Linked DNA regions of Anolis sagrei. Each later gene encodes a partner of the first gene's protein in a complex. Links are inferred from orthologs where the notes say so. Each region holds a gene or a part of one and is shown in the gene's direction. Other genes may lie near its edges. The genes, in order: MED24, MED4 and MED21.

The links.
Region 2: MED24 (region 1) and MED4 share a complex: the UniProt entries of both Homo sapiens proteins name them as parts of the mediator complex. The link is inferred for Anolis sagrei from reciprocal best matches to the Homo sapiens genes MED24 and MED4.
Region 3: MED24 (region 1) and MED21 share a complex: the UniProt entries of both Homo sapiens proteins name them as parts of the mediator complex. The link is inferred for Anolis sagrei from reciprocal best matches to the Homo sapiens genes MED24 and MED21.

Annotation. Positions count from the first base shown.
Region 1 is NC_090026.1:40,879,957-40,883,708, forward strand, and holds the start of MED24 (mediator of RNA polymerase II transcription subunit 24), read left to right. Parts: upstream 1-1,510; 5' UTR 1,511-1,582; intron 1,583-3,752. UniProt on the Homo sapiens protein: Component of the Mediator complex, a coactivator involved in the regulated transcription of nearly all RNA polymerase II-dependent genes.
Region 2 is NC_090021.1:150,140,635-150,144,386, forward strand, and holds the start of MED4 (mediator of RNA polymerase II transcription subunit 4), read left to right. Parts: upstream 1-1,276; 5' UTR 1,277-1,327; coding exon 1,328-1,413; intron 1,414-3,202; coding exon 3,203-3,269; intron 3,270-3,752. Other genes in the region: SUCLA2 (succinate--CoA ligase [ADP-forming] subunit beta, mitochondrial), read right to left, coding at 1,019-1,174. UniProt on the Homo sapiens protein: Component of the Mediator complex, a coactivator involved in the regulated transcription of nearly all RNA polymerase II-dependent genes.
Region 3 is NC_090025.1:91,892,928-91,896,679, forward strand, and holds the start of MED21 (mediator of RNA polymerase II transcription subunit 21), read left to right. Parts: upstream 1-1,548; 5' UTR 1,549-1,613; coding exon 1,614-1,655; intron 1,656-3,752. UniProt on the Homo sapiens protein: Component of the Mediator complex, a coactivator involved in the regulated transcription of nearly all RNA polymerase II-dependent genes.

The DNA of each region.
Region 1 (3,752 bases):
TAGAAACAATACACTGACAACTAAGGTCTGCATAGTTAAAGCAGTGATATTTCCCGTAGTAACCTATGGATGTGAGAGCTGGACCATAAGGAAGACTGAGTGAAAGAAGATAGACGCTGTTGAACTCTGTTGTTGAAGGAAAATTCTGAGAGTGCCTTGGTCTGCGAGAAAATCCAACCAGTCCATAATTCAGGAAATAAAGCCCGACTGCTCATTGGAGGGAAGGATATTAGACGCAAAGATGGAATACTTTGGCCACATCATGAGAAGAAAGGAAAGAGTAGAGAGGACAATGATGCTGGGGAAAAAGGAAGGAAAAAGGAAGAGGGGCCGACCAAGGGCAAGGTGGATGGATGGTATCCTTGAAGTGACTGGATTGACCTTTAAGGAGCTGAGGGTGGCCACGGCTAACAGGGAGCTCTGGCATAGGCTGGTCCACGAGGTCACGAAGAGTCGGAAGCGACGGAATCAACAAAACAATGTGTTCCAATTATTCTGTAACCCGCCTCGAGCCACGAGGTGAGGCGGTAGAAAAATAAAATTATTCTTCCTCTTATTATTATTTACATTTTAAAAGTGTGATACAGTAAAACAGTAAAACTGTGTTACATTACATTTGTTTTTATTTGATTTCAGTGACTGTATTTCAATATCAAGTCAGTACAGAGCTTATGATATGACATAGTATGGGATGTAGTATTAGTTAGGTCAATTTTAATAGTAACTCTCAAGCAAGCAGAAATTATGTTTATTTGACATCTACTAATCCTCATGGGTGCTGATTAACCGAGAGCTCTCTCTCTCTCTCTCTCTCTCTCTATATATATATATATATAAGGTAAAGGTAAAGGTTTTCCCCTGACATTAAGTCCAGTCGTGTCCGACTCTGGGGTGTGGTGCTCATCTCCATTTCTAAGCCGAAGAGCCGGCGTTATCCATAGACATCTCCTAGGTCAAGTGGCTGGCATGACTGCAAGGTGCGCTGTTACCTTACTGTCGGAGCGGTACCTATTGATCTACTCACATTTGCATGTTTTTGAACTAATAGGTTGACAGAAGCTGGGGCTAACAGCGGGAACTCACCCTGCTCCCTGGATTTGAACTTGCGACCTTTCGGTCAACAAGTTGAGCAGCTCAGTGCTTTAACCCACTGCGCCACAGGGTATATATATATATATATATATATATATATATATATATAAAATTGTGTGTGTGTGTGTGTGTATATATTATCTCATTTAAAAGTATTCACATAATAAAGGATAGTTAGTATGGAGTTTGCAGATTTATTTTCTTTATTTATTACTTTAGTTTGTGTGAGTTCATTATAGTAAGCAGACTGTAGCTGTGCTCCTTGGTATTATTATGGCCTTTCTATTATGTTCTTTTTCTCCCTCAAATAGAATAATTCCTTCAAAAACCCCATTACACTCCATTGGATTCAAATAAACTACATCCCCCACCAGCCCTTGCGCCTTAGGGATCGCGCCAGCCAATTAGCGCACGGCTCTTTGCGAAGTGGGAAAATGGCGGAATCCAGGAACTGAGAGGCGTGTGTTTCTTTGTATAGGGAAAGGAATAGGTAAGTGGACCAAAGGAAAACAATGAAGAATCCTCAGTTTTTCTCCACTTTAATAACCAAACCCCCTTTGGTTATTATGTCTGCCCCTTTTACACTGCCAGATAAAATCCAGATTCTCTGTTTTCAACTGGATTATATGGCAGTGTAGACTCGGATAATCCAGTTCAAAGCAGATAATGTGTATTATTTGCTTTGATAATCTGGATTATATGGCAGTGTAGAAGGGGCCTCTTGAGTTTTGTTCACTATATGAGTGACCTGTTTTTAGTCTTGCAAGGAGTTTGTTTTACTAGAATCCACATGGTCTTACGATGTAACTTAAGTTTAATGCAAAATGTAAACTTTGCCAGAGCAGTTCTACATGTCTATTCAAAAACAAGGCATTTTCTATTATTATTATTATTATTATTATTATTAACTTTATTTGTACCCCGCTAGCATCTCCCGAAGGACTCGATGTGGCTTACAAAGGCCAAGGCTTCAAAAAACAACACAACAATACAAAACCTAAAGCAAATTAAAAACAATCAAAGCAATATTAAACAACAAGCAATAAACAATACACCAAGACACAATAAAACTGGGCCGGGCAAGAGTAATGGGTACAGAATTAAAAGTGCTGATGTGACAGGTGATATGTAAGGATTATAGGGTAAGTGCAGTGTGCGGTGTGCAGTAGTCTTAATTCTAATAAAGTGCTTCTGGGACTTGTTATTGGAGTTTTCCTATTCTGGAAAGGCACATCGGAACAGCCAGGTCTTCAAGTTCTTTCTAAAGCCTGCCAATATAGGGACCTGCCTAAGATCTTTGGGGAGGGTGTTCCAGAGTCGGGGGGCCACCACAGAAAAGGCCCAGTCTCACGTCCCCACCAAACGCGCCTGCAACGCAGGCGGAATCACGAGCAGGGCCTCTCCGGATGAACGAAGTGTGCGCGTGGGTTCATAAACGGAGATGCGGTCACACAGGTAGGATGGTCCCAAACCGTTTAGGGCTTTGTAGGTAAGCACCTGCACCTTAAATTGGGCTTTCTAAATATGATTGTATGATATTGCAACCTAACTACCACAGTGAGTTTTATGTGATACTAAATAATGTTTTTCCCCTTTTCTTTCCATACTCTTAATGCAGTTAGTTACTAGTTTAACTGCCTTGGATGAATGCTGTTGAATTCTGGGAATTGTGATTTGGTGAAAGCCCAACACCCTTTAGCAGAGAGGGTGAATGACCTTGTGAAACTACATTTCCCATCATTCCATAACATTTGAGTGGTATCAGACAGCATCAATTCCACGGTGTAGATGTACACTGAGGCTCCTTCTACACAGCTAAATAAAGCCCCCATTTTCTGCTTTGAACTGGAATATAAGGCAGTGTGGACTCAGATAATACTTGTTGTTTATTTATTCAGTTGCTTCTGACTCTTCGTGACCTCATGGACCAGCACTCCAGAGCTCCCTATTGGCTGTGGCCACCCCCAGCTCCTTCAAAGTCAAGCCAGTCACTTCAAGGATACCATCCATCCATCTGGTCCTTAGTTGGCCCATCTTCCTTTCTCCCAGCATCATTTTCCCCAGCATCATTATCTTCTCCAAGCGTTCCTATCTTATTATGTGGCCAAAGTACTTCATCTTTGCCTCTAATATCCTTCTCTCTAACCCAGTTCAAAGCAAATATTTTGGGATTTTCCGCCTTTATATTCTGGGTTATATGGTGGTGTGAAAGGGTCGTGAGTGTCAGCTCTTAGGTCTCCATAGGCTAATATTTTATTTTTTTCTATTTTGTAAGATTCCTTGTAAGCATATGATCCAGATGAAATTAGCTTTCAAGAAACCGGTGGTAGGAGATATGTAGCCTCTCAGCCTACATTTACAGTCTAATCAACTTGATATCACTTTAACTGCTATGGCGCTATGTTATGGGAGTTATAGTCTGGTTGGGGGCACTAGCCCCCTTTGGCAGAGAAGGCTGAAGGCTTTGTGAAACCACAGCATTGAGCCACAGCAGGTAAAATGTTGTCAAAATACATTATTTCTACAGTGGGTACACCCTCTGGTATATATTTTCCCAGGCTCCATGTACACTGCCATATAAAATCCAGATTATCTGCTTTGAACTGGATTATATGGCAGTGTAAATCCAGCTTCAGTTGATTTTTAAAGAGAAGGATCAA
Region 2 (3,752 bases), on another chromosome or scaffold:
TAAAATGAAGAACAATTTTAACAAATATAAACTTATTAGTATTTCAATGGAAAGTGTGGGCCTGCTTTTGGCAGAGGAGATAGGATTGTTGTTGTTGTTGTTGTTGTGTGCTTCCAAGTCATTTCAGAGTTAGGTTGACCCTGAGCGAGGGCTGGGTAAATGACCTTGGAGGGCCGTATCTGGCCCCTGGGCCTTAGTTTGAGGACCCCTGGTCTAAATGCTACTCAGTAATTTCCCTCTAGAGCAGTGGTTCTCAACCTGGGGTCCCCAGATGTTTTTGGCCTACAACTCCCAGAAATCCCAGCCAGTTTACCAGCTGTTAGGATTTCTGGCAGCTGAAGGCCAAAAACATCTGGGGACCCCAGGTTGAGAACCACTGCTCTAGAGTTTTCTCAAGGCTTGAGTTATAAATTCACTCTTCCAAATGATATATATTCCTTCCATGAGGAAGAACTTCCTGACTGTGAGAGCCGTTCAGCAGTGGAACTCTCTGTCCCGGAGTGTGGTGGGGGCTCCTTCTTTGGAAGCTTTTAAACAGAGGCTGGATAGCCATCTGTCAGGGGTGCTTTGAATGCAATATTCCTGTCCAGGGGGTTGGACTGGATGGCCCATGAGGTCTCTTCCAACTCTTTGATTCTATGTTTCTAAGGCCTTGAGTCTCTTCTGTCAAACGGCAACTGGAGCCCCTTGCACATAGCTGGATAAAATCCCCATTGAACTGGGTTATGTGGCATTGTGGACTCAGATAACGCAGATCAAAGCAGATATTGTGGAAGACCTGCCTTGATAGTCTGGGTTATATGGCTGTGTGGAAGGGCCCTCCCAGGGTTCCCCAACAGTGGTGCCAAACTGTGTTAACTCGGCAGTGCAGAGTGTGAGCCCTCCCTCTGCAGAAAGAGGTGAGTTCCGGGTGCCGGCGCCGGAAGGAGGGGGAGGGCATCTAAAGGACGCTGGGGAAGGAAAGCAAGGCCAGGCCAGGGTCTGTCTCCACCGCCCTCCTCTTCCCCGCTCCCCTCACCTTGGCAGCGAGGCTGGCGCGCCCTCCCTGGTATCCCCTCAGCTGCCTGGCGGCCGCTGTCACCACCCGAGAACACATCATGGAGGCGGCCATGACGAGCCTCCTTCCTCCCCGGCCCCTCGGCTCAGGCGAGCTTGCCCCGCTCGCGCTACGCATGCGCCAGCGCGAGCCACAGCACGGGCCAGGGCGCGCGCCCTCAATCACCCTGGCGCCACGAGGGGCGCTGCCACTTCCGGTTTGTGTGCCTGTTTCTCTCGCTTCCGGCGCGTTCACCCTCCCTCCCTGTTGTCAGAGACGCGGAGAGAGGCAATGGCGGCGGCGGCAGGGGTTGGAGACCGGAGTAGCACTCGGGAGCGGCTCTTGGCAGCGCTGGACGACCTGGAGCTCCTTGCCAGGTAAGTTCCCCTTGTCGCAGGGGCAATGTCTGCAGGGACGCCTTCTTCGCTTCTCAGGGCCGAGGGCCTTGGTCATCTTCTGGCTGATGTTGATGCAGGCGAAACGTCAGGAGAGAATGCCTCTAGAACATGGCCATATAGCCCGAAAAAAACCTACAACAACCCAGTGATTCCGGCCATGAAAGCCTTCGACAATACATTGAACATCTCTACGGGGAGAAACTGTTCCAAGCCATATCAACATGAGCCAGAAGATGAATTCCCAGGACTGGGACAAAATAGACAACCTCACTTACAGGAAAATGGAGATAAACCCTTTTTCCTAGTTCCAACAGACCTCACAACCTCTGAGGATGCTTGCCATAGATGCAGGCGAAACGTCAGGAGAGAATGCCTCTAGAACATGGCCATATAGCCCGAAAAAAACCTACAACAACCCAGTGATTCCAGCCATGAAAGCCTTCGACAATACATTGAACATCTCTACTGGGAGAAACTGTTCCAAGCCATATAAACATCAGCCAGAAGATGAATTCCCAGGACTGGGACAAAATAGACAACCTCTGAGGATGCTTGTCATAGATGCAGGCAAAACGTCAGGAGATAATGCCTCTAGAACATGGCTATATAGCCCGAAAAAGCCTACAACAACCCAGTGATTCCAGCCATGAAAGCCTTCGACAATGTATACTCAAACAGAATATTAATTGAGGACACAGAAATGCTGGTCCACTCTGACAACCGGATAATATAAACCATAAGAATGTCAGACCTCACTACCTTTGAGGATGCTTGCCATAGATGCAGGCGAAACGTCAGGAGAAATGCCTCTAGAACATGGCTCTATAGCCTGAAAAAAACCCACAAGAACCTACTCATAAGAATGTTTTTCATACATATGTTATGGTCATAAAACATTCAATGTATGTACAAACAAATCTTGTCGAAGTACAACAGCCAGACTTTGCAGCTGCTACTCAATGCTAATCAAGGCTTCAAATAGGCAAAGGTTCTTTCCCCCACTCTTGTCCTTCCACAGATATATTTACACCCCACTTGCCTCATTCCAACACACCTCTGAACAAACATCTGAGGGTGCCTGCCATAGTTGCAAACGAAACATCAGGAAAGAATGCTACTGAAACATGGTCATACAGCCCAAAAAAAACTCACAGCAACTCAATGAAATATGTTCTGGTTTTTCAAATATGGTTCCAGTCACCGGAGAATAAATGGAAGCGATGCAGCAAACCAGGGGGGGGGGGGGGAAACTTTTATAGGAATTGGGGCCAAACACATGTAGCCAGAACATGACCTAAAGGGCCAATTTTTTGGGAAACAGAATTCAGATGAGCACTTAGTTCTTGTGTAATTATTTTTGTTGCACCTCACTTAATCAGAATACACATGCATATACATTAAACCAATAAGGTCATAAAATGCAAAATTGCAAACATTAACAAATAGACTTCCTAACTGGAAGCAGGAGGCAGAGAAATTCCATGGGTTTTGAGTTGTTCATTATCTTCTTATGAGGAAGTCAATCACTACATAAGAAATTGATAGGTTCCATCTGCATACAGCTGACTAACCTTTTTTTTCATCTGTAAAGTACTGGAAGGCAGAAATTGATTTGGTTATCAGTATAAAGATGTTCTTGTGAAATATGGAGAGCTATTAAGTTTATGATTTTTTTTGAAGTTTAACAATAGAGGCAGGAAAATGTGTTTCTGTTCTAAAAGAGGATAAACTCTTTCTTGCTTCTTTCTTTATGCTAAATGTGCTTCAGGGAGCTGATTGAAATGCTGGCAATTTCAAGAAACCAGAAACTTACACAAACCGGAGAGGACAGCCAGGTAATCAAAGAGTTTCGAAATAATATAAAGAGTATTAAAGTGGTTGACCTTTTCACTTCTTACCATACTTACTCAAGCATAATTTGTTATCAATTGTAATGTTCATCTCAATTTTGAAAGTGCACATTGCAAAAAAAAATGTTTTCTTGTTAAATGTAATGCATGGGTTCCCCTTGCCTGTTGGATGTTCAGCTCACCACCCTGGAAAAATTGACAGGCAAGGAGAAGCCTTGCTTCTCCATCTGTCCAAGGCTGGTGAACTAACTAGCCTCAGCCTGACGGACGTTTGGCAGCGTCTCAAATAAGGCCTCATTCACAAGGCCTTCAAAACTGAGTTCTCAGCCTGATGGAAGGGTGCAGGCAATTCTAACGCACCATCAAATCTTATGCGTACCTCACCTTTGGCTATGTAATTTAGCCAAAAAAAGGTGAGCATTAAATTCGAGTAAATATGGTATTTCAAATGTTGAATAGTCTGTTAGA
Region 3 (3,752 bases), on another chromosome or scaffold:
CTAATTACCTCTCAGCAAAAGTTTGTCCCAGGCACAGTCAGGCCATTGTATGTTAATCAAGGTGGTCAGTTGAAACATTCACACCTAGCTCCAGCAGACAAGAGTCCTTTGTCTCACCCTGGTCATTCCACAGATATATAAACCCTTTTGCCTAGTTCCAACAGACCTCACAACTTCTGAGGATGCTTGCCAAAGATGCAGGCGAAACATCAGGAGAGAATGCCTCTAGACCATGGCCATATAGCCCGAAAAAAACTACAACAACCCAAAGGTTTGTATATATCAGCAATCCAATGTTACACTATCTCAGCCCAAAATGTAGACAATTTGGGCTTTGGGGTATAGCAATTTGGATAAGAGATGCTCAGCTCAAACTGATCAGCTATTTATTTATCGTGTCATCAGCAACCATTGTATTACAATTCTAACAGAGCAAAACAAACACACAGATTAAAAAGAAAAAGGAAAAAAAACACACAGATTTTGCAAATTTGGTATTTGGTTAAATGTCCTTTGACGAGTATCTGGCCACTTGGAGTGCCTCTGGTGTTGCCGCAAGAAGGTCCTCTATTGTGCATGTGGCAGGGCTCAGGGTGCATTGCAGCAGGTGGTCAGTGGTTTGCTCTTCTCCACACTCACATGTCGAGGATTCCACTTTGTAGCCCCATTTCTTAAGATTGGCTCTGCATCTCGTGGTGCCAGAGCGCAGTCTGTTCAGCGCCTTCCAAGTCGCCCAGTCTTCTGAGTGCCCAGGAGGAAGTCTCTCATCTGGTATCACCCATGGATTGAGGTGCTGGGTTTGGGCCTGCCACTTTTGGACTCTCGCTTGCTGGGGTGTTCCAGCGAGTGTCTCTGTAGATCTTGATTTAAGTCGTTGACGTGCTGGCTGATACCCAAACAGGGGATGAGCTGGAGATGTCTCTGCCTTGGTCCTTTCACTATTGGCTGCTACTTCCCGGCAGATGTCAGGTGGTGCAATACCGGCTAAGCAGTGTAATTTCTCCAGTGGTGTAGGGCGCAGACACCCTGTGATAATGCGGCATGTCTCATTAAGAGCCACATCTACTGTTTTAGTGTGGTGAGATGTGTTCCACACTGGGCATGCATACTCAGCAGCAGAGTAGCATAGCGCAAGGGCAGATGTCTTCACTGTGTCTGGTTGTGATCCCCAGGTTGTGCCAGTCAGCTTTCGTATGATGTTGTTTCTAGCGCCCACTTTTTGTTTGATGTTCAGGCAGTGCTTCTTGTAGGTCAGAGCACGATCCAGAGTGACTCCCAGGTATTTGGGTGTGTTGCAATGCTCGGCTACGACTCTGGAAACCAGGGTCTGAATCCGTGCTAGACTGGGTGCCTCACAGGAAGGCAAAGGTAAACACTGGAAAGGCCTGAAGGGACTGCTTTCCCTTGCAAGAAGGAGGTTTTTCCCATCCAACAGAGGGCGCAGTTGAAAGAATCCCATTCGTCACCCACAGAATCAATACTTTACAATCTTCCGGATTGGACCAGCGCGTCACGGCGTTGCTTAGCAACGCCACCTCCCGCCCTTTCCTCGGGATTGGCCGGGAGCTTCCCATTGGCTCTCGCGTGGCTTTGTGTTGGTCGCTGCTTCCAAGATGGCGGATCGCCTCACTCAGCTGCAAGACGCCGTCAATTCGGTGAGTTGACGAGGAGGATGCATGCATGCATGCATGGGCCATTGGTCTTCCCCCTTCTCTGGAAAGTTGGAGTTGTATTTATTTTTATTGGAAGGAGAGAAAAAAAGGCAATTTGCTCTAGGGATGGCTTCTACTAAATAAATCCCTGAGTAGAAATGGCCACTCTCTCGCCCTTTTCTTAGTTCTTACTCTCCTTCAGACCACATTTTGTCAAGCTGTTATTCCATCTCAACTGCTATGGCAGCACTGTATGACATTCTTGGATAGGCAGTGTTGAAGAACTTAGACGTTTTCACCAGAAAGCCTTTGGGTCTCACTGAACTTCAAAACTCTGGGGTTCCACAGGATGTTGCCATGGCAGCTGAAGTGGAGTGAGAGCGCCGTAGCCAGGTAGAGTGACAGGGCCCACAATGAGTTTAGCAAAATACTTACACCATGTCACAAAATTTGAGAATTTTTCTGTTCCTAGTTTGAAAGTGATATTTCTTGTTTAATTGTGCGGTACTTTGAAAGCAGTTGCTCTACTCCAGAAATTTTGTTTTTGTGGCTGACACAAATGATGGCCCCTTCTACACTACCATGTAAAATTTATTTATTTATTATTCGAACTTATATGCCGCCACTCCCCTGGGGCTCAGAGCGGCTTACAAGAATAGGCTAAAATCGAACACAATTTTAAAACAATTTAAAACAATTTAAAAACAGCAATATCAAACATTAAAAGCCTGTCAAAACAGGTATGTCTTACATGCCCTGCGGAAAGCTGGTAAGTCCCGCAAGGCACGGACTTCAGGTGGCAGAGTATTCCAGAGTGATGGTGCCACTGCTGTGAAGGCTCTGTGTCTGGTTGCTGTTAGACGCAAGGTCTTGACACTGGGGACTTCCAATAGATCTTGGTCCTCAGAACAGAGGGATCTCTGGGGTTGGTAGGGGGTGAGGCAGTCCCTCAGGTACATTGGCCCTAGACCATGCAAGGCCTTAAAGGTGAGTACCATCACTTTGAAAGTGATCAGGTGCTCAATTGGTAACCAATGCAGCTGCAGTAAGATTGGTGTTGTGTGGCATCTCATCGGAATTCCCGCAAAAAGCCGAGCAGCTGCATTTTGTACCAACTCGAGCTTCCGGATCATCGACAGAGGAAGGCCAATGTAGAGGGCGTTACAGTAGTCCAATCTTGAGATGACTGTAGCCTGGATCACCATAGCTAGGTCATCCCTAGACAGGTAGGGACAGCCATCTAGCCTGCCGCAGATGAAAAAAGGCAGTTCTGCTAACAGCAGAGACCTGGGCCTCCATGGTCAGCAGAGGGTCCAAAAGGACTCCCAGATTACTTGCTTTGAACAGGATTATATAGCAGTGTAGACTCGGGTCCCTTTCACACAGCTGAATAAAATTCAGATTATTTGCTTTAAACTGGAATATATGGCAGTGTGGACTCAGGCAACCCAGTTCAAAGCAAATATTGTGTGATTTTCTGCCTTCATAGTCTGGGTTTTATGGCTGCATGGAAGGGCCCTCAGGCTCCTTCTAAACTGACGTTTAATCCAGTTCAAATCAAATAATGTGAATTATCTGATTTTATAATCTGGATTATATGGCAGTGTAGAAGCAGCCTAAATTAAATTGATTCAGGTCCCATCTACATAATAATAATAATTATCGTTATGATTGTGTTTATTTATATCCAACCCCTTCTCCAAACAGGACTCGGGGCGGCTTGCAAAAAAGAAAACAGTACAAAAACCAAAGCAAAAATAAAACATAATTCATAAACTGCAATATCAAAAACCTAACAAAAAATAAAATGCAATACAAAAGCCAAGGCAAAAAAAAAACAATACATAAACAGCAGTCTCAAAACCTAACAGATTATCTGCTTCAAACTGAATTACAGTGTTCCCTCACTTATCGCGGGTGTTCCGTTTCAGGGCCAGCCACGATAAGTGAAAATCTGCCCACTCAGCGACAGCCGCCTCCTCCTCACCACTTCCGCTGCTCCCGGCCTCTGATGCTCCTTGGGCACCGTTGATGGCATTGCCAGGCTGGTCTGAGGCCTCAGCCCAGCCCGGCAGTGCCATCAACGGAGCCCAAGGGGCT